Saccharomyces cerevisiae S288C: one gene and its partners. Changing the gene in region 3 together with the main gene of any one other region gives a genetic interaction. Each region holds a gene or a part of one and is shown on either strand. Other genes may lie near its edges. The genes, in order: RIM20, GUP1, VPS8 and VAM3.

Evidence for each region.
Region 1: mutations in VPS8 (region 3) and RIM20 together harm fitness more than expected from each alone (negative genetic interaction), as found in Saccharomyces cerevisiae (3 studies listed by BioGRID, with this or other methods).
Region 2: mutations in VPS8 (region 3) and GUP1 together harm fitness more than expected from each alone (negative genetic interaction), as found in Saccharomyces cerevisiae (3 studies listed by BioGRID).
Region 4: mutations in VPS8 (region 3) and VAM3 together harm fitness less than expected from each alone (positive genetic interaction), as found in Saccharomyces cerevisiae (4 studies listed by BioGRID).

The regions. Positions count from the first base shown.
Region 1 is NC_001147.6:836,628-842,954, forward strand, and holds RIM20 (Rim20p), read right to left. Parts: upstream 4,443-6,327; coding exon 2,457-4,442; downstream 1-2,456. Other genes in the region: MOD5 (tRNA dimethylallyltransferase), read left to right, coding at 1,047-2,333; CAF20 (Caf20p), read left to right, coding at 4,706-5,191; uroporphyrinogen-III synthase HEM4, read left to right, coding at 6,190-6,327. UniProt on the Saccharomyces cerevisiae protein: Required for the proteolytic cleavage of the transcriptional repressor RIM101 in response to alkaline ambient pH, which is necessary for sporulation and invasive growth.
Region 2 is NC_001139.9:348,160-354,072, forward strand, and holds GUP1 (O-acyltransferase), read right to left. Parts: upstream 4,140-5,913; coding exon 2,457-4,139; downstream 1-2,456. Other genes in the region: coiled-coil domain-containing protein MAD1, read left to right, coding at 1-1,209; LCL3 (Lcl3p), read left to right, coding at 1,457-2,281; SCY1 (Scy1p), read left to right, coding at 4,899-5,913. UniProt on the Saccharomyces cerevisiae protein: Membrane-bound O-acyltransferase involved in the remodeling of glycosylphosphatidylinositol (GPI) anchors. Acts only on GPI-anchored proteins, but not on free GPI lipids.
Region 3 is NC_001133.9:141,570-148,031, reverse strand, and holds VPS8 (CORVET complex membrane-binding subunit VPS8), read right to left. Parts: upstream 4,326-6,462; coding exon 501-4,325; downstream 1-500. Other genes in the region: transcription factor TFIIIC subunit TFC3, read left to right, coding at 1-438; EFB1 (translation elongation factor 1 subunit beta), read right to left, coding at 4,872-5,412, 5,779-5,858. UniProt on the Saccharomyces cerevisiae protein: Required for localization and recycling of the CPY sorting receptor (VPS10) to the late-Golgi compartment. Involved in the retention of proteins to the late-Golgi. Plays an integral role in the complex vacuolar protein sorting process.
Region 4 is NC_001147.6:517,289-522,428, reverse strand, and holds VAM3 (SNAP receptor VAM3), read right to left. Parts: upstream 3,309-5,140; coding exon 2,457-3,308; downstream 1-2,456. Other genes in the region: GTPase-activating protein RGS2, read right to left, coding at 147-1,076; YOR105W (uncharacterized protein), read right to left, coding at 3,908-4,234; PIN2 (Pin2p), read right to left, coding at 3,939-4,787. UniProt on the Saccharomyces cerevisiae protein: Required for vacuolar assembly. Provides the t-SNARE function in a late step of the vacuolar assembly. Required for homotypic vacuole membrane fusion, autophagy and fusion of biosynthetic transport vesicles with the vacuole.

The DNA of each region.
Region 1 (6,327 bases), on a different chromosome or scaffold from region 3:
CCGGTACCGTTTGCTCTGACAAGGACAATTAGCATGTAAGCACGAGTGCGGGTATGCAATCATTTCAGTGTTTCCTTCATTTGGCATAGTGTCGTAACACGGATTTAAGGTGAGCCGTCAGGGGCTTTTAAGCGGAGCCCCTGCAGCTTCATGAAGACGGAACCGCACGGGCCTATTACCTCGGGGATAGATCAATTATCCGAAGCGGGTCACAACCCGGAAATAATAACCACTATGCCCGACCGTACCGACGTGGCACTATTTTTGGGATCCGTGGAAGTCGGCCATTAGTGGTAATCGGCGAAAACAAGTTTATTGCAGCTAAAGCACGCCATACGGTTGATATAAACAGCAATTAGGCACTTTTTCTCTTATTATTCATATGCCTTATTGGCTTGTGGCTTGTGGCTTGTAGCCTATGCAAATGCATTTGCTGATAGCAGCATAAGAAAGTTGGGAAGAAACGCTAACTGTACTTTTTATATCCAGAGTTCATTAGTTGATCTTTTACCCCAATAATTTCTTCCACTTGCGGCCTGCTTCTTCGCATTTCTCCCATTCCGGGCCGCGACTCCGTAGTTCTTACAGAAACAGCCGCCTCCATAACCATCTATGATAGGAAAAAGATGGACAAACAGGAAAAGAGCTAGGGAGTATAACCTGATTCCTGACATGTATAGGATTCGGGTAATTTTGAAATACGAAGCTCTTTGCATTCCGAGACCGGTTTAGGAAGATTTATTTACATATCTACTTGCGCTATTGTGGTCATGCCTTCGAAAGATAAAGAGCGAATTTTGCTCGTATAAGCTAAAATCAGGTAAAAGTTCCTTATGTTGCTGCTCCTCGATGGCAACGTCGATCTAAGATCTTGATTACTGAATCAGGCGAAAGCACACGTTCATCTTTCGCTCATCGGAAAGAAAATTAAAACAGAAAAAAATTCTAAAATGGCAAAAAAGAAGAAAAGCTCAGTGAGGGCTGTATAGTTTATTAGATAAGCTACTATACGTACATATCTTTTGTAAATAGAACCAAAAATCTTCATGCTAAAGGGACCGCTTAAAGGTTGCTTAAATATGTCTAAAAAAGTTATAGTGATTGCTGGTACAACAGGAGTAGGAAAGTCTCAGTTGTCCATACAATTGGCACAAAAATTTAATGGCGAAGTTATCAATTCGGATTCTATGCAGGTATATAAAGATATTCCTATTATAACAAATAAACATCCGCTTCAAGAAAGAGAGGGCATTCCTCACCATGTAATGAATCACGTAGATTGGTCAGAAGAATACTATTCCCATCGTTTTGAAACTGAATGCATGAACGCTATTGAAGATATTCACCGGAGGGGTAAGATACCCATCGTTGTTGGGGGTACTCATTATTATTTGCAGACTCTTTTCAATAAGCGGGTCGATACGAAATCATCCGAACGTAAGCTCACAAGGAAGCAGCTCGATATTTTGGAATCGACTGACCCTGATGTGATTTATAACACACTTGTGAAGTGTGATCCTGATATAGCTACCAAATACCATCCTAATGACTACAGGAGGGTACAACGAATGTTGGAAATCTACTATAAGACGGGCAAAAAACCAAGCGAGACATTTAACGAACAAAAAATAACTTTGAAGTTTGATACCCTATTTTTATGGCTATACAGTAAGCCGGAGCCACTTTTCCAAAGGCTTGACGATCGTGTAGACGACATGCTAGAAAGAGGCGCCTTGCAAGAAATCAAGCAATTATATGAATATTACAGTCAAAATAAATTTACGCCGGAGCAATGCGAGAATGGTGTTTGGCAAGTTATTGGCTTCAAAGAATTCTTACCGTGGCTAACCGGGAAAACTGATGACAACACAGTAAAATTGGAGGATTGTATAGAAAGAATGAAAACGAGAACACGTCAATACGCAAAAAGGCAGGTAAAATGGATCAAGAAAATGCTGATACCTGACATCAAAGGCGATATATACTTACTGGATGCCACTGACCTTTCTCAATGGGACACGAATGCATCTCAAAGAGCGATAGCTATTTCCAATGACTTTATTAGCAATCGACCCATCAAGCAAGAAAGGGCACCTAAAGCCCTAGAGGAGCTGTTGTCTAAAGGCGAAACTACGATGAAGAAATTGGACGATTGGACACATTATACTTGCAACGTCTGTCGTAACGCAGATGGTAAGAACGTTGTAGCTATTGGCGAAAAATATTGGAAAATTCATTTGGGTAGCAGAAGACATAAATCCAACTTGAAAAGAAACACTCGTCAAGCTGATTTTGAAAAATGGAAAATAAACAAGAAGGAGACTGTGGAATGAAAATATTAGGAAAAAGGAGTTTATCCTGAGTGTATATATCTACATAAGTGAAGCTGGGTTTTGATAATGGAAAGGGAGGATGACAAGCTCAAAATATACTTTATAGATGAATGAGGACAGGTATCATTGGTCTTCAAATGTCAAACTCTTATCAAGCCTAGCTTTTTCTGCTCTTCTTGCTGTATCATATTCCTGTACCTCATTGTACAGATTGCTGGTAGAAGTAATTAAATTTTCGTAAAATGCTGTGCCGGCACTTAAATTTTCTTTCACCTCATCAAGCAGTTTGAAGGAATATCTCAGATCTTCAATATATAGCTCTCTGGGATCTATTCTTACCATTTTCTTTGGTTCAATCCCGCTTCTGCCGGGGTTATTCTTCTTACTTAGGTTTACTTCCTCAATAAGTTTGATATTTTCTTCCTTTGTACTATTAACGTATCTTAAATCTTCGTCAAAGTATTTTAAATGGCCTATGAAAATGGGTTCAAAGTCGACTGTTCCATTTTTTTTATACGATGTAATGATCTTTGGAAGTATTCTATATTCTGAAGATTTCCGCCTCGTCCTATCAATATAATCATTTCTTTCCTGTATGATCATCTTAATCTTATTCGTTAGAGGATCATTAGATTCCGGTAACCTGATCTCTGATCCAATCAAATTTTTATCGATGCTTTGAAATAGTTCATTTGTTTGTTTGTCAATCGCACTACCTTCATCAAGGTATCCTCTCAGCTTTTTTAGTTTTTCATAATATGCTGTGTTAGTAGTTGAAGATTCGGGTAAAGTCCAATTTAAGGTTCCGTGTTTTAGTCGGAGCTGATTGTCAGTAAATGCTTCTTCATTTAAAATTTGCTCAATGTTATCGAGTTGTACCTGCACATTTTTATTATTAATGAGAAGATTATTCAGTGATGCCTGGTAATGACTCAGTTCTGCTTCACTCACCTTTGTAAGCCCTTGTGGTATTTGGAAAGTAGTCAAGGACTCCTTCAATAGTTTATTTAGGGAAGCAAGGGGATTGGTAACACGTTGTTCAACGTATTCATCTTGCCTTTCATTGTATGCTGTGCAATATTCCATCACTTCTATAGGGATTAGGTCTTTGAATAAAGTCTCATCCTTTTTAATAGAAGGCAACAATGTTGCTGAAGAAGATGGTTTAACCATGAGAGCTGGTTTGATCGATGGTAATTCCGAAGGAACTTCTTGTAAGTAGATGAATTCATTGTCTCTTTGGGCTTCTTTCAGAGAAGATTCGACAACAGTTTTAAACTTAGCTTGCGAAGATAGTGTTGATTCATTTATAAATTGCAATCCCATTTGCAGAGCTTTCACAACATTTCCGAACTGCTTCTTCTCATTAAAAGATAAGGCTATTCTGTAATAAGTCACCGCACTAAAGTAAGCCTTTTTAGCCTTTAAGTGGTTTATCCAATCACTTCTAATAAGTTTCCCCCTTTGGGCGTCATTAATAGCCTCGCAGTAGAAGTCCACGATCTGTTGTGACAACTTCGCGATTAAGGAGTCCTTGTGTTTATCTTGCACGGCTTTAAACCAGAAGCATTCTTGCGCTTGTGCTAGCATCAGGGAGGTTAAAGCGTTCAATGTGGCGTCATCTACCACTGGGATTGTCTCAAGATTTTTTTGGTGGTCTAAAACATGTTTAAAGCATCCGGCGGCATTCTGGAAGTACAGACATGACGTTTTGAGGGATTCGGCTGCATCATTGTTGCTATTTAGAGCCAACAGTGAATACATGCAACCAATATTATAAATAATGGTTAATTTTTCCCATTGTAATGAGTATTGACTAGTACCACGAGATTTTTGTGATAGCGTTTGAAACCATGTAAATTCTATTTGATTATTGGGAAACTTTTTCTCTAATTGCAACAATATTACATAGTATTCCTTCAGTGCAGAAAGACCGTCGATTGAGATATCGGGTGCAATCGCATTGTTTCTTGCATCAACAACTTTGAGTATGTCTGATTGGAAAAAGGATGCCGTTTGAAAGGAAGTAGTATCAATTAGTTTTGACAACTCCGTGGCAAAGTCCACTTCTAAAGTTCGCTTAAGTGGAATGGCAAGCAGTTCACTCATGTCACACTGCCTGGATCTCCATAGATAATAATACTCTCTCTGCAAGGGTATAGTAGTGTTTTAATAAGGCTTTATAGTCCCTTTTCTTATGCTATATTATAAAGCCGGGTAGTAGCGAGGCTTGAATATCTCTTTTCCTGGACGAAAAATAGTGAAAAATTGGAAAAAGTATTTGGCGTAAAGCATATTCTACCGATTGCGATAGACATTATTTGAGCTGTAACCTGAATATAGGATTAAGAACTTTTATTTAATTTCACGACATGATCAAGTATACTATCGATGAGCTTTTTCAACTGAAGCCAAGTTTAACTTTGGAAGTTAATTTCGATGCGGTGGAATTTAGAGCCATCATTGAAAAAGTTAAGCAATTGCAACACTTGAAAGAGGAAGAGTTTAACAGTCATCATGTTGGTCATTTCGGTCGTAGAAGATCTTCCCACCATCATGGTAGACCAAAGATTAAGCACAACAAGCCTAAGGTTACAACCGATTCAGATGGTTGGTGCACATTTGAAGCCAAGAAGAAGGGTAGTGGAGAAGATGATGAAGAAGAAACAGAAACCACACCAACTTCTACTGTGCCAGTTGCTACCATTGCCCAAGAAACTTTAAAAGTCAAGCCAAATAACAAAAATATTTCTTCCAACAGACCTGCTGATACCAGAGATATTGTTGCGGACAAGCCAATTCTTGGTTTCAACGCATTTGCTGCTTTGGAAAGTGAAGACGAAGACGACGAAGCATAAGTCATTCGCTCATGCTTTCTTCAGGCAGCTGTACGTGTACTATGTATAAATTTTGAATAACATTTTTTTTAATAAACAGTTTTTACTCTTTTAGGTTACTTTCCAGATTGAAAATATACAACGTGGTTACATAAAGAAATTAAAATGTAGAACGAATCATGACCAACTGTATCAGGTGTTTAAAAAGGCGAGGTGAAAGAGAAAGGCTTCCCCCTCTAATATCAACAGCTGGAGATACATCTTTCTAATAATTAATCTACCATGAGCCGTACGCACTGAAGCAACGCCCATCAAACATCCGAAGCCACATTATGAGTACAAAAGAGGCTGACGTTAATAGGAACTCATGGTGTAATTTTGCTTCACTTTTCTGAATTCAAATGGAAATAGAAGTAAAAATGGGCAGAAAAGTTACCTCATGCTTTAAATATACTCAACTTTTCTCTACCGACAGTAGGAGCCCTAAGAGATAAAGCGAAAAATTTTCACAGCGCGCTCCTTGGTGCGGCGAGGGTATAAAAGGCGATTTCATTTCAATTCTTTGAACTTACTTCATTTGCAGGATCCTTCAGGATAAGAAAACCATCATTCAATAAACTGATCTTCCGGATTACCATGCTTAAGACATCACGCCTCCATATGTCTATATAAAGCGCAAATGGCTGGAAGTAGACCAATTTTTTTTGTTCCTAGCTTTTCATTATTGAAATCTAATCCAGTTTTAATGGTTTTTCTTAATTAAGAAAACAAATTATCATTGGTTCGCTCTAGGTGTACATATCTTCACTTCATTACTCTCTTGTTTACATTGTATACATCGTACATATACTTCAATTATGGAAATACCATAAATTCTCTTAGTGTGTAGTTCACTAGTTTTTGGGGTTGGGTTGTGCTGTAGTCAGCTAAGGCGCTTTAGTGAACTTTCTAGTGAGTTTTTTGAATTTTAGTGTCAAAGGATAAGGAAACAGAAAGGTAAAATAGACCTTGCTCGAGAGATGTCTAGTCGTAAAAAAGTCAGAGTATTACTGCTCAAGAATAAAACTGTCCCCATTGATAAATATGAATTGGAGTGTAGGAGTAAGGCGTTTGAACCCATATTCGTACCGCTTATTAAACATACACATGTAATTCAA
Region 2 (5,913 bases), on a different chromosome or scaffold from region 3:
GATAATAATAATGATACAAGTAATAACAACAATATTAATAATAACAACAGAACCAAAAATAACATAAGAAATAACCCTGAAGAGATTATCCGGGACTGGAAACTTACCAAAAAGGAATGTTTAATTTTGACAGATATGAATGATAAGTTAAGATTGGACAATAACAATTTAAAGCTACTGAATGATGAAATGGCTTTAGAGAGAAACCAAATACTAGATTTGAACAAGAATTATGAAAACAACATAGTAAATTTGAAAAGATTAAATCACGAGTTAGAACAACAGAAGAGTTTATCTTTCGAAGAATGTCGATTACTGCGCGAACAATTAGATGGCCTATATTCCGCACAAAATAATGCTTTACTAGAGGTCGAAAATAGTGAAACACATGCGTCAAACAAGAACGTAAACGAAGATATGAATAATTTGATCGATACTTATAAAAATAAGACAGAAGATTTAACAAACGAACTAAAGAAGCTAAACGATCAGTTATTATCAAATTCCAATGATGTAGAAACACAAAGAAAAAAGAGGAAGTTGACAAGTGACCAAATTGGTTTAAATTATTCACAGAGGCTCAACGAATTGCAACTGGAAAATGTAAGTGTCTCGAGGGAGTTGAGTAAAGCACAAACTACAATTCAGCTACTACAAGAAAAATTAGAAAAGTTAACTAAACTAAAGGAGAAAAAAATACGTATACTGCAATTACGTGACGGCCCCTTCATAAAAGATCAATTTATCAAGAAAAACAAATTACTTCTTCTAGAAAAGGAAAATGCAGATTTACTTAACGAATTGAAAAAGAATAATCCAGCAGTGGAAACAGTACCCATTTCTGTTTATGATTCACTAAATTTCGAGTTGAAACAGTTCGAACAGGAAGTTTTTAAGTCAAATAAAAGATTTTCCAGACTAAAGCAAGTTTTCAATAATAAATCTTTGGAGTTTATTGACGTTGTAAACTCATTATTAGGTTTTAAATTGGAATTTCAACAAGATAGTCGTGTGAAAATATTTTCCTGTTTCAAACCTGAAAAATATTTGATTGCTGATCTAAATGAAAACACTTTGAAATCTAACCTTGATGCAGATATAGAAGGATGGGATGATCTCATGAATCTATGGGTGGAAGATAGAGGTCAACTTCCGTGCTTTTTGGCAACAATAACATTGCGTCTGTGGGAACAGCGACAAGCCAAATAAGTGTATATACATTTCTAATAGATAATAGTAATCGGTTTTATAATATGATAAACTCCTATCCGCTGACATAATTGTTGGTCACAAAATTCTTTTATCTTTCTTCATCATTGACCTTTTATGATTCCTTTGGTATGCAAAAAAAAAAAAATTGTGTTGAAGAATAAAAACAAATTACAGAATAAGTCACACATGATATAAAAAGAAGCCCAGTTTTTCATAGCTATTAAGGGGGCATAAATGCACTTATATGAGGGAAGGTGATTCTAATTCAAAAAAATCTGCGGATGTTGCTGTCCTCTCCATCATCCTTACGGGTTCGACCTTAACATTGATCTACACATATAAAAGGTATTTAACTCAATTCAAAAGAACAAATGATATACCGCGAAGAATATTTCGTAAACACTGGCTTTATGGTAAAGTCACGTCTGTAGGTGACGGGGACAACTTTCATTTCTTTCACATGCCAGGTGGTATAAGAGGTGGATGGGGATGGTTACGACCCGTCCCACAAATGATCAAGAATGATTCTACGGCAGAAAAGCTTGTTGGAGATAGCAGAAATATGAGGTTTTTCAATTTCAATTGGATTACGCATGGGAGGTCCACCAAAAGTAAAATACAAAAAGCTAAAAGCCAGTTCTTGAAGCTAAATGTACCTTACAAAAATAGGAAAAACCTGCCAACTATTCCTATAAGATTATGTGGAATCGATGCCCCAGAAAGAGCACATTTCGGTAACCCAGCTCAACCGTTTGGTAATGAAGCTTTAATTTGGTTACAAAACCGAATTTTGGGAAAGAAAGTATGGGTCAAGCCTTTATCTATAGATCAGTACAACCGTTGTGTAGCTCGAGTGTCATACTGGGACTGGTTTGGTGGGTGGAAAGACTTAAGCTTAGAAATGCTCAAGGATGGATTAGCGGTTGTTTATGAGGGTAAAGTAAACACAGAATTTGATGATAGAGAAGATAAGTATCGATATTATGAATTTTTGGCAAGATCTAGAAAAAAGGGACTGTGGATCCAGAATAAATTTGAAACGCCTGGTGAATATAAAAAACGTATTTGAGTTTTCGAGAGGATTTTTATCCATCATACTGCAGATTTTCATATTATATGTTCATTAGCTTTTCACGCTTCCTCTCGATATTTTTTTATTTATTTTCGGTTTCATTTTTGTACTAGTAGATAAAAATACATACATGATAGCAGTGTTATACAATTGATATTCGTAAATTTGGCATTCAGCATTTTAGGTAAATTCCGTGCCTCTTTTCTTCTTCTCTGATTTCAAACATTATTTGTACTGCGATGAATAAACTAACGCTTGCCAAAATTACAAATTTGAAACCAGATACGGTACAGAACATATCGCTTAGTAATTTTTTAGTACCGTCAGAGCCCAAGCAGAATCCAAAAAGATTAGCGATCATCATAACCCATATGTTGAAAACAGCACCGACAGCGCAAACGTGTCTGTACCAGACTGCGTCGGTATAATGAGAGAAAATTTGGGTAGCAAAAATTTCTGGTAAGAGGAACAAAACTATTAGCCAACCCCATAATAATAACTTTAGTTCGATGTCATGCCATATAGCTACGAAGGAAAAGACTGCTAGTGATGTCAAAACTCTATTTTTTGAACCACCTAGAGGAATATATATGTAACGGACAACCCACTTATTGTAGCTTCTATGCCAAGCTCTCCAGAATGCTAGTGAACTGTAATTGTTATCAACACACCTGATCATATTTTCAGGTGTATCGATTCCGTCTAGCAAAGCCCACAGCCTAAACAGCCTCCACGGAATCAGTAGTTTTAGCCAAATAATATTCAAATTAAATAAGCCAATCATGGAAATCTGGAAAGGTGTGTCATTTTCCCACGCTTTGGTTTTTGAGATTGCCACAACGTGGAGAAAGTGTAAAATGAACTCCATAGATAAGAGAGCAATAACGAATCTCACCGCATAGTAAAAAATGAATTTGAAATTTATTGATGGCAAGGTATGTTTCGATTGGTAAACATAATCATTGAATGTTATAATGGGGCCGGCAATGAAAAGTGGCGTGTAAGTAACATATGCAATATAATTCATTAAGCTGTAGTCCTGTATGGGGTGTGCAGCAGTTAATCTAGCACGTTCATTGAGCAAAATGGCTGATTTAGCTTCTTTTGATTCATAGGATGGACTTTTCTTCTTTTGTAAATTCTCCCACCTCTCTAAGAAGTCCAAGTTGTAACTTAAGACTCTCAAAAGAGTAAAATTGAAAAAGACATCCCATCTTGGAATGATACCTCTATACCAATGGTCCAATGGGCTTAAAAAAGAGCAAATATTACCAAATGGATATGCTCTGAAGTTGTCGTTAATAAAAAGCGTAGAAATACCATAAATCCAAATGCTGATGGTGGCTATTCTTCTAAAGTTCTTTAGTACATGGGCGATGGCATATAAAATTAGCATATGGGCTAAAATTCTTATCGAATTGACACCATGAGCGGCCACTAAAAAGATCAAACCAAATATCAGATCAAACCTCAATTTAGTGATATTTGTTGAATAAAGTACAATGCGTTTTATAGAAGTGTGGACTAGCATTAAAACTGACAATAGCGCAAAATTGTCCCTGAAAAACCTATATTGAGAATCACTATTGTCTACTTTTCTGCCAAATAACCAACCTTGAGATAGGAGACGTTCGTATCTTGCATAGTTTGGATTTTCGGGCGAACTAGCTTGTAACCCAGCATAGAACATCAAGGGAACCACGACCAGAAATGCAATGTAGTAGAATTTGAACTCAGTAGTTTTCCATAGTGATGGCTTAGTGGTAGTAGAGGCATCCTTTTTTGGTGAAGGTTTGATTCTTGAATCTAAGCCCTCGGAAGTAATTAGGGGAGACAGGATGCTGATCAGCGACATTTCTTGCAATTGTCTGTTAACAAATGCTGATTCACGCTTTGTTTTTGCCTTTGTATGATTAACATCTATATATCGAAAGCAATATGCTAAGTTATTATTCTTACCCTTTCAGTGTCCTTTTTGGCACACCCACTAAACATAAAGAGAAATACGTGAACACCTATACACCCTATATTATTTTGATTGTTCAACATTGCTTGATTCATCATCCATTCTCCAGCTCTCGAATCTTGTTTCTGGCTTTTCCAAGATTATGTGAAAATTAACTTACTCTTTTTGGTCGATAAATAATTACAAGTTCAAGTGCATGTCTAATTGGAAACTTATTTTTATGTCCGATTGAGCTGATGTTCAGCTAGTTTATGTTTATACAAGAAAAATGCTCACCCGTACATATGCTCCTTCTTCACTCATTTTCTTGTCCTGTTGTTGAGACATTCAACTTTGATCCTGCTCTTGTACTTTTATGATTCATTACTTATATATTGGTCTTCATTATTCTCGAGATGAAATTCTCAGGGTCTTTTAAAAAAAAAGTTTCAGTAGGAAAACTAAACGTAATTAAACTATTCTTCGGTTCGAACCTGAAGTTGCGTGAAAAAAAGGGTACTGCAGTCTTGAAAAAATAGAAGCCAAAAAGAAGTTAATATCAAAACAAATAAATCTTGCACATATTAAAGCGCACAAAAGTATTCAAAACAGTGTAACTTCGAATATCGTATCATTAAGGAAAATAGGACACACTTTGATTGAGCAGGGATGATGTTTTGGTCCTCAAAGACGGGTATCACGTCAAAATATTCATTTTCATCATCACCTACTTTCACAGCTGAACCATGGAGCATTTACACCGGTCGTCCCAAATCTTCATCTTCATCTTCACCTTCCAAAGTATCGATATTCATGTTTGACAAGAAGCAGTTCGAAAACTATTTGTTACACTATGGTATTATTAAATCCAAATCTGGATCCAGAGATAAAGTATTAATACAAGAAGCGTACGAAATATTAAGAAACCAGGCCAATAACTTGGCCAAGCTCAAGCACCCAAATATTCTGACTTTAATTGAACCATTAGAAGAACATAGCAAGAATTTCATGTTCGTCACCGAGTTTGTCACTAGCTCATTGGAGACCGTTTTCAGAGAAACCGATGATGAAGAGCAGAATTTCTTACAAGGTCATGTTAAAGATAATATCGTGGTACAGCGAGGTATATTGCAACTGGTAAATGCACTCGATTTTGTTCATAACCGCGCAAGCTTTGTACACTTGAACATTCAACCTAGGGCAATATTTATCAATGAAAATTCTGATTGGAAAATTTCCGGCTTAGGCTATTTAGTAAAAATACCACCAGGCACAAATACCTCTGAATACTTCTTACCTCAATATGATCCCAGAGTTCCCCCATTTATGCATTTACAATTGAATTATACGGCCCCAGAAATTGTTTTTGAGAATACCCTAACCTTTAAGAACGATTATTTTTCTTTAGGATTGTTGATATATTTTCTGTACACTGGTAAAGACTTGTTTCGCAGCGAAAATTCGACTAGTGAATATAAATTGGAGTACAACAAGTTTGAAAGCAAAATTAGTACAATGTCATGGGATAATATATTCAGTAAGGTTCCACAAAAGTTGAGGCATTGTATACCCAAGCTAATAAACAGAGACATCTATTCCAGATATGATAACATAACGTTGATTTTAGATTCTGAGTTTTTCCAAGATCCGTTAGTCAAAACCTTGAATTTTTTAGACGATTTAC
Region 3 (6,462 bases):
GGAGAGCTATTGAATATGGATGTAATTCCAATGGTGAGAAATGTTCGACCTTTAACGTATACTTCAAGGAGATTTGAAATACGAACATTAACTCCCCCTCTGATTATATATGCCAATTCTCAGACAAAATTGAATACAGCAAGGAAGTCTGCTGTCAAAGTTCCACTGGGCAAACCATTTTCTCGTTTATGGGTGAATGGATCTGGTTCCATTAGGCCAAACATATGGAAGCAGGTAGTTACTATGGTCGTTAACGAAATAATATTTCATCCAGGGATAACATTGAGTAGATTGCAATCTAGGTGTCGTGAAGTACTTTCGCTTCATGAAATATCAGAAATATGCAAATGGCTCCTAGAAAGACAAGTATTAATAACTACTGATTTTGATGGCTATTGGGTCAATCATAATTGGTATTCTATATATGAATCTACATAATGAAATGAGGTGTATAAATTTTACTTTTATGTAACCAAAGTTGTATTAAATATTTAGAAATGTTATACTATTTTTGGGTTAGATTCCGTCTGGCAAATTAAACAAGAATATTCATCGGGTTTCTGGGCCAAGTTTTCGAGGCAAGTCTGGTGAAAGCCATGGTGACATTTGAATATGACAAGGGGAGTTTTGAGATCTACACTAATCATATCTTGGTGGCGCTGTACATTTTCCCAAGCTAGAAAAAGTAATGGGTCCAGACCAGCTCCCCATATTTTTTTCCCGCAGATTTCGCAGTCGTCGGTGTGTATAGACCACCCTTCACTCAGAAATTTTCTATACTGTTGAACAAGATCTTGCGAAGAATCCTCTATAATCTTTTGAATCAACTCAGAAAGAGATCTTTCCAATTTATAAGTATTAAAAACATTCAGTAGCAGTTGCTTTAAATCCTGAACTTTCATTAAAATAACGTCTTGGTGCTCAAGAACAGAAGACATTATTTCCCAGAATTCCCCACCTGAATCCTTCTGAGAGGAACTCTTGGACCTAACCAATCCCAAAAATGCTTCTTGAAGTAGTTTATTACATAAATCTTTCCTTTCATCGTGTGAAGGATATTTCCCATATAGAGTGATCAGGAATGTAATCAATAATATCCAACACGATTTTTTCTCGGTACCAGCAGAATTACAATCATCAAAGGCCCTCCTCAAAGATTCCAATAAAGTAGATATATTTGTTTTCCCTTCATTTAGACATTGTTCAATAAAACTTAATAAATCCCTGACTGCTAGGTTAAAACTTTCCAAGCGTTCGTGAATTATAGCTGCAGCTTCAAAATTAGAGTCTTGATTCAATAAGTCCAGAATTTGTAAGCTCTCAGCGTTGCTGAGAACTGTACCATTAAGCCAAAGAATCATTTCCCTTTTGCTCTTGTATTTACAGTTCAATTCGATGTGTAAATTTCTTAAACGCTTATCGACCTTATTGTTGATATTTGGCGTAGAAAAAAGCTTATCCAAATACTTTTGCTGAGTCTCCTCATTCTTTACTTCCAGGATTTCTTGATGAAGATTATAGTCAAAGTCAGAAAAAATTGTGACGCATTTTTCGATACCGATCCTTGAGAGAAGAAGATCAAAGTTCGTCTCGATAACTTCAGTAACTTTGCCACATTCTAAACTTCCAGGTGGGCATTTTTTGAGTATGTAGTCGGTTATGGATACAATGTCCGTGTTATATTCTTTTTCGATGTCCTTAGTTTCTAAAATAAGTGAAAGCGCACTGGCGTACTTATTTTCACTTTTATAGATATGGAAAAGAACTTTATTGAAATTTTTTTCTTTTAGTTCCAGTATAAAATTTTCTGTTGTTCTTGAATGATAATAGGGTAAAAGCGACTCCAGAGCTATTTGAGAAATTTCATATATACCTTGAACCCTAGAGGAGCATATGGTATTAACAACGCAGTCGAGGGCTTGGTTAGACACTTTAATAAATTGAGGATATTTTGATATACTAGTTGCAATGAAAATTGCAACAAGTACCCTGATGTTGTCTGAATTTCCCGTATCTTTCATAGCATCCAATAGTAGATCAATAACATATTGCCTACTTACCAATTCTGCTTCTCCAACTGATGCAACCATGTCATTGTCATCGTTAAACAAGGACGCTTCAAACACTTCATTGAGCATTGCTAAGAACCTACTCGGATTCGATTTCAATAAAAGGTGAAAGTAAGGAAATGCTGGCTCTTCTTCTGGATTTTCGCATATGTAAAGTTTATGATTGCTGTTCGACGGCCATTTTATGGAGAAGCCACTAAAAATAAATGCTGAAAGTTCCCTTTGTATTTTGGAGCATTTATCACTTGGTGATATAGACAAGTTTTGTGGATATTGCCTGCCAGTAAGGATATACGTTACGTAATCAAATATAGTCGTTTCAGGAGGTACTTGAGGACCATTGAAGATCACACATTTTTCACTTTGGTTAGAAATCCTGTATATCAAGTCCACCACTGGGGTTTGATAATCATCAAAGATCTTGTTCCAAATATATATTAATAAATCGAACAAATTATACTTTTGGCATAGTTTGACGGCAAGATCAACATCAAGCGTAGTAGGATTTAACATGATGATTAAGTCTTCAATTACTTTTAAATTCTCCTCCTTAGCATAGTAATCAATTATGGACCTGAAAAGAACTGGGGAAATTGACGTAACTGATCCTTGGGCAACAATATTTGCTACAACTTCAAAATATACCGCGTTGTCCTTCAATTCAAAGAACTCCAGACCCTGTTCCAAAAAGACGTCTAGAGAAGGAATTGAGTCTAGTTTTTTGGAAGATTGCTGCAAAACACGAACAACTACCATTAATAATTGGTAAACCCTATTGTAGTCGGCATTATCTTTTTTTATAAGAAACCTTAGGGCAGCCAAGGACAGATTGTAAAATGGTTCCATAAGTTGCTTAGTCCTCTCTTCCGTATTATTATCTAGCTTCAACAAGTTTGCCAGTGGACAGTAAGGTTGCAAAAGTGATTCTATGAACTCCAATGCACCCAAGTAGTCGCCTTTCAAAATATGTCTTAAAGTAATATCTGACCAAGACACAAATTTGCCAATTTTAAATGAGTAGTTTGTTAACAGGTAGAAACTTCTTCTACTTATTACAAAATATTTATTAGGTGGGATCATCAAATCGTGAATCAGAAAATCCAATCTTAACAGGATCTTGAAGTCATGTTGGGGGTGCAATACCAAAAATTGGTGCGATATGGTTAAAACACCAAGTAGGAGCTGGTCAATCCATTGAATGGATAATATAGATTCTGCAAATTCAGGAGAATGGCTAGCGGACTGAACATTGAAGTCTGATGAAGATATGGAAATAACAGAAATTTTATTATTTACGGAATAAGCAACCCTGGAACAGTTTTGAGTCCATGAAATAGAGCTATTCACGACTAGAGAATTTTGTACTGAGGGTTCAACAGTTTCTTGAAACATCAAAGAAACGTGTGGCGATAATAAAATAAGGGCAAAATGTGTAGTTGTGAGTACACTCAACAAATTAGTGGAAATTTTCTCCCGTGATATTAGTGGAGACAACTTTGACCTTATTAATTTCTCCTTGGAAGAGTTCACATCTAAAATTTTTTTTGAATTATACACCAACTGCCAAAAGCCTCTTCTGTAACCGTTATAGAGTGATACTTTACCTGTCCTATCACTAACAATCAGGGCTGTATGCCGAGCACCAAAAAAGTCTAACCCTGTGATTTCCTTGTTCACATGGTCATCGATGTGTAAGACTGCCGGTAAGGCAGGCGTTGGGGTCATACCATTTGTTGGTTCAGAAGTGGGTTTCACTCTATACCCTACGTTCAAGTTCCAAATGCATATATTTCCGGTCTCGTATGAGGCAGCTACATGAGTACCATCGGAACATATGACAATTGATTTCACTGGACTTCTTATTGAGTGAATAGAAGGGTCCTCAGATAAGGTCGGCACTAGGATTGTCTGCAAATGTTCATTATAATTAAAAATGAGTACGCATCCTTTAGAAGTGCCCATCAAAAAATACGTGGCTGTCGGATACAAGCACGTGGGCCCTCCATAAGCACCCAGGATGGAATATACGTGTGTTAAAGTTGTCCATGAGACTACGGATTCGGAGCCTTGTGACACTGCAGAAGCTACCCCTTTAGGACCATCTTCGTTCAGGGGAGGTGCCGTATATGAAGAACTAGATGCCAGTTTTTCACTTAATTGGGTATACGATCTAAATTCTAGGAAAGTCTTTTGAGTGTCATTAATAGTCGTATCGATGCTAGATCTGCTGTCGTGGTCAAGGCCATTTTGCTCCATTCTAGGTGTAATGAGTAATGGTCTCGGCAGATATATATTTTACACTTATTAAGCCTTTGTATGTATTGGTAATAACTGTCCTTTTTCACGCAGGTATATCATCGTAACCAGAGGTTCCCTTTTTTTTTTTTCCACAGGAAACTCACGTTTTGATTATATGTCTTTCTCGTTTTTGCCATGTTAAGCTACGAATAATGAAATTTTCCTTTTCTTCTAATCGTGAAAAAGTTATCCACCATAACTCCCTACACCGCGTATTTTCGACAAGATATTATGAGTATGTGTATTTAAGAATATGAAAAGAGATATACATAACTTGAATATTCCCGGAATAAATTCAATTAATAAACACGATTCCTTATATAGTGGTTACACAAATTAGTAATAATGTTTCGTGTGCAGTCGAAAAGTTTATCGTTCAAAATTCCTTCTGTTTTTTTTAGCCTAAAACCTAAGTTATTTCGTTGTTTTTTTCATTTATTTGTTAATCTTTACAATGTTGTTTTTGCTTTAATGTTAATTATAAAAAGTTTATAAAAAAGCCTTTTATAATTTTTGCATAGCAGCAATATCGGTAGATTGGACGTGGTCTTCGTCTTCTTCAATGCTTTGTTGCAAGTCATCCAAGGAAACCTTGTCATCTTCGACAACACAGTTAATTTGCAACTTCTTGATACCGAAACCAATTGGGATAAATTGGTGAGCACCCCAGGTCAAACCTTCCATTTCGATGGCCTTGACGTTAGCAACCATTTCTTCCAAATTGGTTTCATCATCCCATGGCTTGACATCTAGAGTGACAATGGACTTAGCAGCTGGCTTAGCTGGCTTAGCAGCCTTCTTAGCGTTGTATGCGGCAATTCTTTCAGCCTTCAACTTTTCAGCTTCAGCGTCAGCTTCTTCATCGTCGGAACCGAATAAATCGACATCGTCATCTTCTTCTTCTTCGGCAGCGGCAGCAGAGGCAGCTGGGAAAGAGTCGAATTCATCGGCCTTGGAAGCGATGTGGTTGAACCATCTGGAGAATTCTGGGTAAGCAGATTGGAAAGCCTTGAAGACAGTGACGTCAGCTTGAGAAACAGCAGTACTATTTTAAAAGGAGAAACAAAACATTTTGCTTGTTAGTAATGAGAACTTTTTTCTTGTAATGCAATCTTTAGACTCTGTCTTTCTTTTTTTGAACAAAAAAGGAAAAAAAAATAACAGATAACTAATAATGATACTCTGCTCTGTGCTATCGTCAGATACTGTGATAGTCAACCACATCTCTTTTGTCACTCATATCGGGGGTCTTACTTCCCATCATAAACACGGACCAAAGAATTAAATTCATCATTCACATAAGCGAAAAAAAGTAATCATTATTAGTTAACTTCCCTTTACATGTAACCATAGGAAAAAAAAAAAAGAAAGAAAAACAACGATCTATAAAGTAAACTAAATCGGAACATACCCTTCAATGTATGACTTGTCAGCCAAAGAAGCGTTTAATTGTTTCAAAGTTTCAATCTTGGAGAAATCGGTGGATGCCATTATGTGTGTATATATTCGGTTGGACTCTTCAGTGCTGAAAGGTAGAAAGCATGAGGTAAAAAGATAAAGAGTAGAAGGAAAAAAAAAAGAACCAACTAAATATAGTGGGTAGATAACCTTAAACTATTTATTTAGAGGCGACAATGTGAAAAATTTTTTCTTCAAAGGCTCGGTTGTCGACAAATTGTTACGTTGTGCTTTGATTTCTAAAGCGCTTCTTCACCTGCAGGTTCTGAGCCCTAAGAAAAAAAATTTCCTTGGTTGAAAATGGCGGAAAAAAAAAATTCAGAAAAAGAAATAAAGCACGTGTGCGCGGTGTGTGGATGATGGTTTCATCATTGTCAACGGCATTTTCGTTCTTGTGGATTGTTGTAAACTTTCCAGAACATTCTAGAAAGAAAGCACACGGAACGTTTAGAAGCTGTCATTTGCGTTTTTTCTCCAGATTTTAGTTGAGAAAGTAATTAAATTATTCTTCTTTTTCCAGAACGTTCCATCGGCGGCAAAAGGGAGAGAAAGAACCCAAAAAGAAGGGGGGCCATTTAGATTAGCTGATCGTTTCGAGGACTTCAAGGTTATATAAGGGGTGGATTGATGTATCTTC
Region 4 (5,140 bases), on a different chromosome or scaffold from region 3:
TCAAAGTTCTAATCTTGATTAACTGATATCATGCAAATTTAGCTTTTTAAAGCCGTTTTCAACGCTTTTTTCATTTTTACCGATCGCTTTATTGGGTAATGGCGATGAGGATGAAGATATTTGTGTCTCCACAGATGATGAAGAGGCTATCTTTGTTGATGACTGTTTTGTCCTTTCAAACGGTTTTGAACATTGCTGTTATAATGGCTACAAATGACGCCTGAAGGCTGTTTGAAAGATTTCCGTTTTTTAACAAAGTTAAGTTTTTGCAATAAACCTTTCCCCGAGTTGAGAATTCCTGTATTTTGCGGTTTTTGCAGATTTCTAGTGCTGGTATTCTTGTAGGTCGAGCTGGTAGTGTTGAGTGAGGAAGAGGACTCGCTTGGCCGAGAAGTGCGATCGCTGCATTGCGACTCATTGGTCGTGTTTGCAGACGTTTCTTGAATGATAGTTGACAAACCATTGATATCAGGCTTCTTAAGATACGAATTTCTATCTTCAGAAATATCCTCCACGCCTAATGACGAAAAAGAAGTTGTAGACTCGTTTTTGAGATCTTGTTCCGTAGCAGAGTCATTGTGGGCATATGTGGCGGAGTACTTTTTCTCATTAACAGAACTCACAAATCGGTGATACCCGTCCATTAATAGGCCCATCACATGGCTAATGGCACACAGGACGTCTACGTCGGCAGGTACTTCATTGTTAGCAAAGCACTTCTCAAATATCTCCCTAGTATCCTGTGAAAAGTTGCATTCTTTGGGGGAGTCCACGGCAATGTATTTTATGTACAACGACTTGTTCCAAACTTCCAAGAGCTTCTCCTCGCTAATACTCCTGTTTTGCTTAAGCTGGAGGAACTGATGAGCTTTTTCGAAAAATTCTAAATTTTCCTCACAATGAGCTCTTTTTAGAAATTTGTAAAACTTTTGTATTGTGTAAGGAGAACGCATCCGTTCGTGATGCCCTTTTCGCAGTTGAATCAGCACTGTATTGCTACTTTCAGCATCGCCGTCGCTGCGACTATTCTTTTCTAGCGGTATCAGTATGTCGCATAGACTTGGTACACTCGCCATCTGGCATGTGCTGAATTTTCTTCGTTTTATGTATCAAAGGTGCCTTACCTAAGATGTTTTGATATTTATATAGCCAATGTAATATTTTTTTTTTCTTCTCTTTCCTTGCCTCGTCGCTTGAGTTGTTTGCTTTTAGTGATCACCGTTGACTTTGTAAAAATCCGTTTAGTCAATTTTGGCAACTGGTTCAAGCAATGTGCAACGGAAATGGTATAGATGTGATGTGGTATAATATGTTATTAATTTGATTACTAGCGCCTTAACTATCTTTATTCAGCAAGTTTTTTTTTCATCTCCACAAAGGGACGTTTACAAAGGGTATCCCGAAAGAGATACTACATGACGACGTCATATATACGTATATCTCAAGAAAAGAATTGTTAATGATTATGTTTTTTTTTTCTTCTTTCAATTTCCTTTTTCTGATTGTGCTAAAATGAGCGCCGAGCCGCTTCGATCGGGGTACCTGCGCACTTTTCTAGCGGTTCGGTTCGGCAGTTCTTCCCGAAGCATTTAACGCAACCTTGTTCCTCATTCTCCAGCAGGTCTGTGCTTGGTGCGCGACTTTAGCTGCAACGGCGTGGGTGTGCCGCAGCGGACATTTCTTAGTTAGATGTCATCTCGGCTGGACCGGGACGCCACAGTAAGATTTCAAACTGCTGAAAATTTTCGCCAGCAGAATAGCCGCTACTATCAGGCCGTAGCGACAGGATCGTGCCCGCAATAACGTACACATCGAGGTAATTATGCATGATTTCTTTTTTTGCCGAGAAATTCTGCCATTTTTATTAATCCACGCTCTGTCCTTATCTTAGTGACAGGCAAGGATGTTCTGCAAAAGCGAAAATTGAAATAAGATAAATACTTCCGAGCCAGACACGTTCTTATGTTTATCAGGGCCCACAAGGTTCATTTAGAAGACAACGCATACAATGTTTTGTTTCTTGATAACGGTTGGCGGCCGTTAAGCAACAGTAAGGCAAATGACAGTTAACGGAAAATAACAGGGTTCTTACTTTTTACATACAGTAGCACAATCCTTTTTTTATTGGCAGTCGCTAGTAGAAATTCGTGGGGATTTACGGACTACTGAAAAAAGGTCAGTGTAGATCGTACAAAGTAGAAAAAGGAAAAAGGGCATATCGAGCCCTTGCATTTAAACTACGGAGTACAAAAAACACAGGTTGCGCACATGGGAAGTGCACTATCACTAGACATCAAAGGAAATTTTGAGTCAAAAAGAGCGGCTAAGAAACCCCCCTACCACAAAAGAATAAATGCAAAAAATAACTTATACACTCTTATACACTCTTGTTTTCGTAAATAGATAAGATTGGGTCTACCAGAAAGTCTGTGCTCAATGCGCGTTTAAGGAGATTACTAACTTAATACAGCAAGCAATACCACCATGCACACAACTATTATAATGATTAGGGTGACCTTACCGCATTTGTTACGGTCCCTCTGATGCTGGTCTGCTCTGGTTAATTGTTTGTTTGCATTCTGCATGTTATCATGTAAATGCGAGATATTCTCGTCTATGGTGGTTACTTGTTCTCCCTGTTCTTTCACTAATGAACCGAGCTGATGGAAAATAGCATTGACTTCTTGTACCGCCGTATGAATGCGTCCTATCTGTTGGGATCTTTCCTGGTGAATGATTGTTTGAAAATCTAGTTCTTCTTGGGACAATCCTTGCTGTTGTTGTTCTTGTTCTTCTTGCAGCTGTAATTGGTGTTGTCCTTCGTTATGCAGTAAAGGACTCTGCTCGTTTACTTTTATAGAAATATAACTAGACTCTGGATCTTGTCGCACGGCTTCAGTTCGCGGATGGATGTCTTTTCTTTCCTTAGATGTTCCTGGTGAAATAGGCGTTTTTAGAGGGAACAGACTCTTCCTTTGATTGTATGATTGTTGTAGGGATTGATACTTCGTTTTCAGGTTCTTGAAATCAGCAGACAACTTTCCATTTTGGTGAATGAGGATGTTGCTCTCAATTTTATCCCTTACACTGGTGCAGTTCGGTATTAACTCTGTTTCAATTTTGTATCTTAGTTCTTTGGAGTCCCGTTTGGAACCAATTTTGGTGCATTCCTTTTCCAGCACGCGGGATTGTTCAGCGAATGTCTCAATTAAATTGCTTAATTCCTTCGTTTTTTGATTTGTTGAGAATTGTGGTTCTTGCTGGGAGTTACCCTTTGAAGATTGTGCTTCGATGTCGAAAAAGGACATAATCTCAACTTTCTGCAGTGGATATTAGTTGGCCAATTTGTTAATGCTGATCCCGTGGTTTTTTATTGTTCTATTTTCCTTCCTTTAATCTCCTGGCTGCTTTCTTTACATCAAAATCAAAATTCACTACAAAAATGTATATAGAGTTTTTACTGCGCATCTCGCGAAAAAAAAAGTTGTGATGTGAAACTCGAATATGAGGCTGAACGAATATTATCATTTGATTATAATAAGTATTGACTTGTATGATCTTAGTTTTGCTCTTCCTGTGTCCTCGTCAGCACCTAGGTAAACTATATGTTACAAATAGATCACTTTTATCCTGAGGAAAACAACCTAATTTATTGTACATACTAACTGACCAAGAGGAAGTTCACCATTGACTGCCCTTATTTGCATTTTAAAAGTTGCGGTTTCTGGTGTTACCTGTTAGAAGGCACCTTTTTAGCAACCGGTACAAGGAAAAACTCGTTGGAAGATTTTTTTTTACTTTCCTTTCCGTAAACGCAAGCTCACAGTTATTCCTGAAGAAATTCCTAATTGGTTCTTGCAAAATCTACCAATGAATCCTCTTGATCTTAAAATGTCTGACTGATTATTCAAAAGAAGGGGGAATATATATTTACCTCATTAGTAATATCTATCGCTTTGGTTTGGTTTATATCCCTGATATGATTGATAATTTTCGGTTGGATATGGACTTCTATGATTAGAGGAGGGAGTATTGTAACTGTTTCCCTGGAGGTTATTATTGATGTTATTATTATCGTAATAATAGTTCTCGCCATAATCGCTGATGTCAAAAATTGGAGATTGTGAAGCAACATGAGCGTTGTTGCTACCAGTATTGGCCGCATTTTGGATAAACGAATTTCTAGCATCATATTGCGGCTGAGGGCTGCTACCTTCGAAATTTTCTTCTTCATACACTAGAGGGGCCACCCTACTAGGGCTGCGTCCTTCTTTATTTCTTTCCTTCTGTTGTTTTTTCCTTGTTTTCTCTTTTTGTTTTTCCAAATCGAAATCTTCCTCTAATTCATACACCTCATTACTGGGAGTTTTGACTTCGTCGTAAAATGTATCATTCTTCGCATCGTTTCTATAATACGCACTTTCAGGTTGTTGAATAGGCTGATAAATCACAGTAGAAGGAGGAGCCACGCCCATATTAACTCTACTAAAACCCTCATTTACCGGCATTGTATTGTTTCCATTTCTGTCATTAGAACAACGACAACACCAACAAATGAACTGACCTATTCCTGTTACCCCTTGCCTGAAACATGTCAGTAAGCCCCCAATCAACCAAATCACAAGAATACAGGCCAAAACAATACCAACAATCGCAATAATTTTACATGCTTTATTGTCCATGCAGGTGTCCCAGCTTCGGAAACTTTTTCCTGTACTTACTACACCATCTGTAAAGGACGATCTCGGAAATAGTGGTACTATTTCTTTCAACTTGCAAACGTTCATTACTGTGTATACGCTTGGGAGTCTTTGATTATATTTCTAGTATTTTCTTGAAACGGTTATTTTGCTAAAAATAAACAAGATAAAAAAAATCTAAAAAGTCACGACCGGGGGTGGTTATTCTTGATCTAAGTAGCAAATATGTAATATATTTGAAACTTTCTTGCGCCCCTTTAATTTTGAAGTTCTTCTAGGCTTTTATCCAGTTCTAGAGTAGAAGTTGCGGTTCCAGTAGATCTTGAAGCTTTTTCGAGATGCATCATTTATATTTTTCCCCATTTGGTTATAAGAGAAGAGGCATTTTCCTACAACGAAAAATAAGCATAAAAAGGGCCACGTTCGTAGCAAAAAAAAGC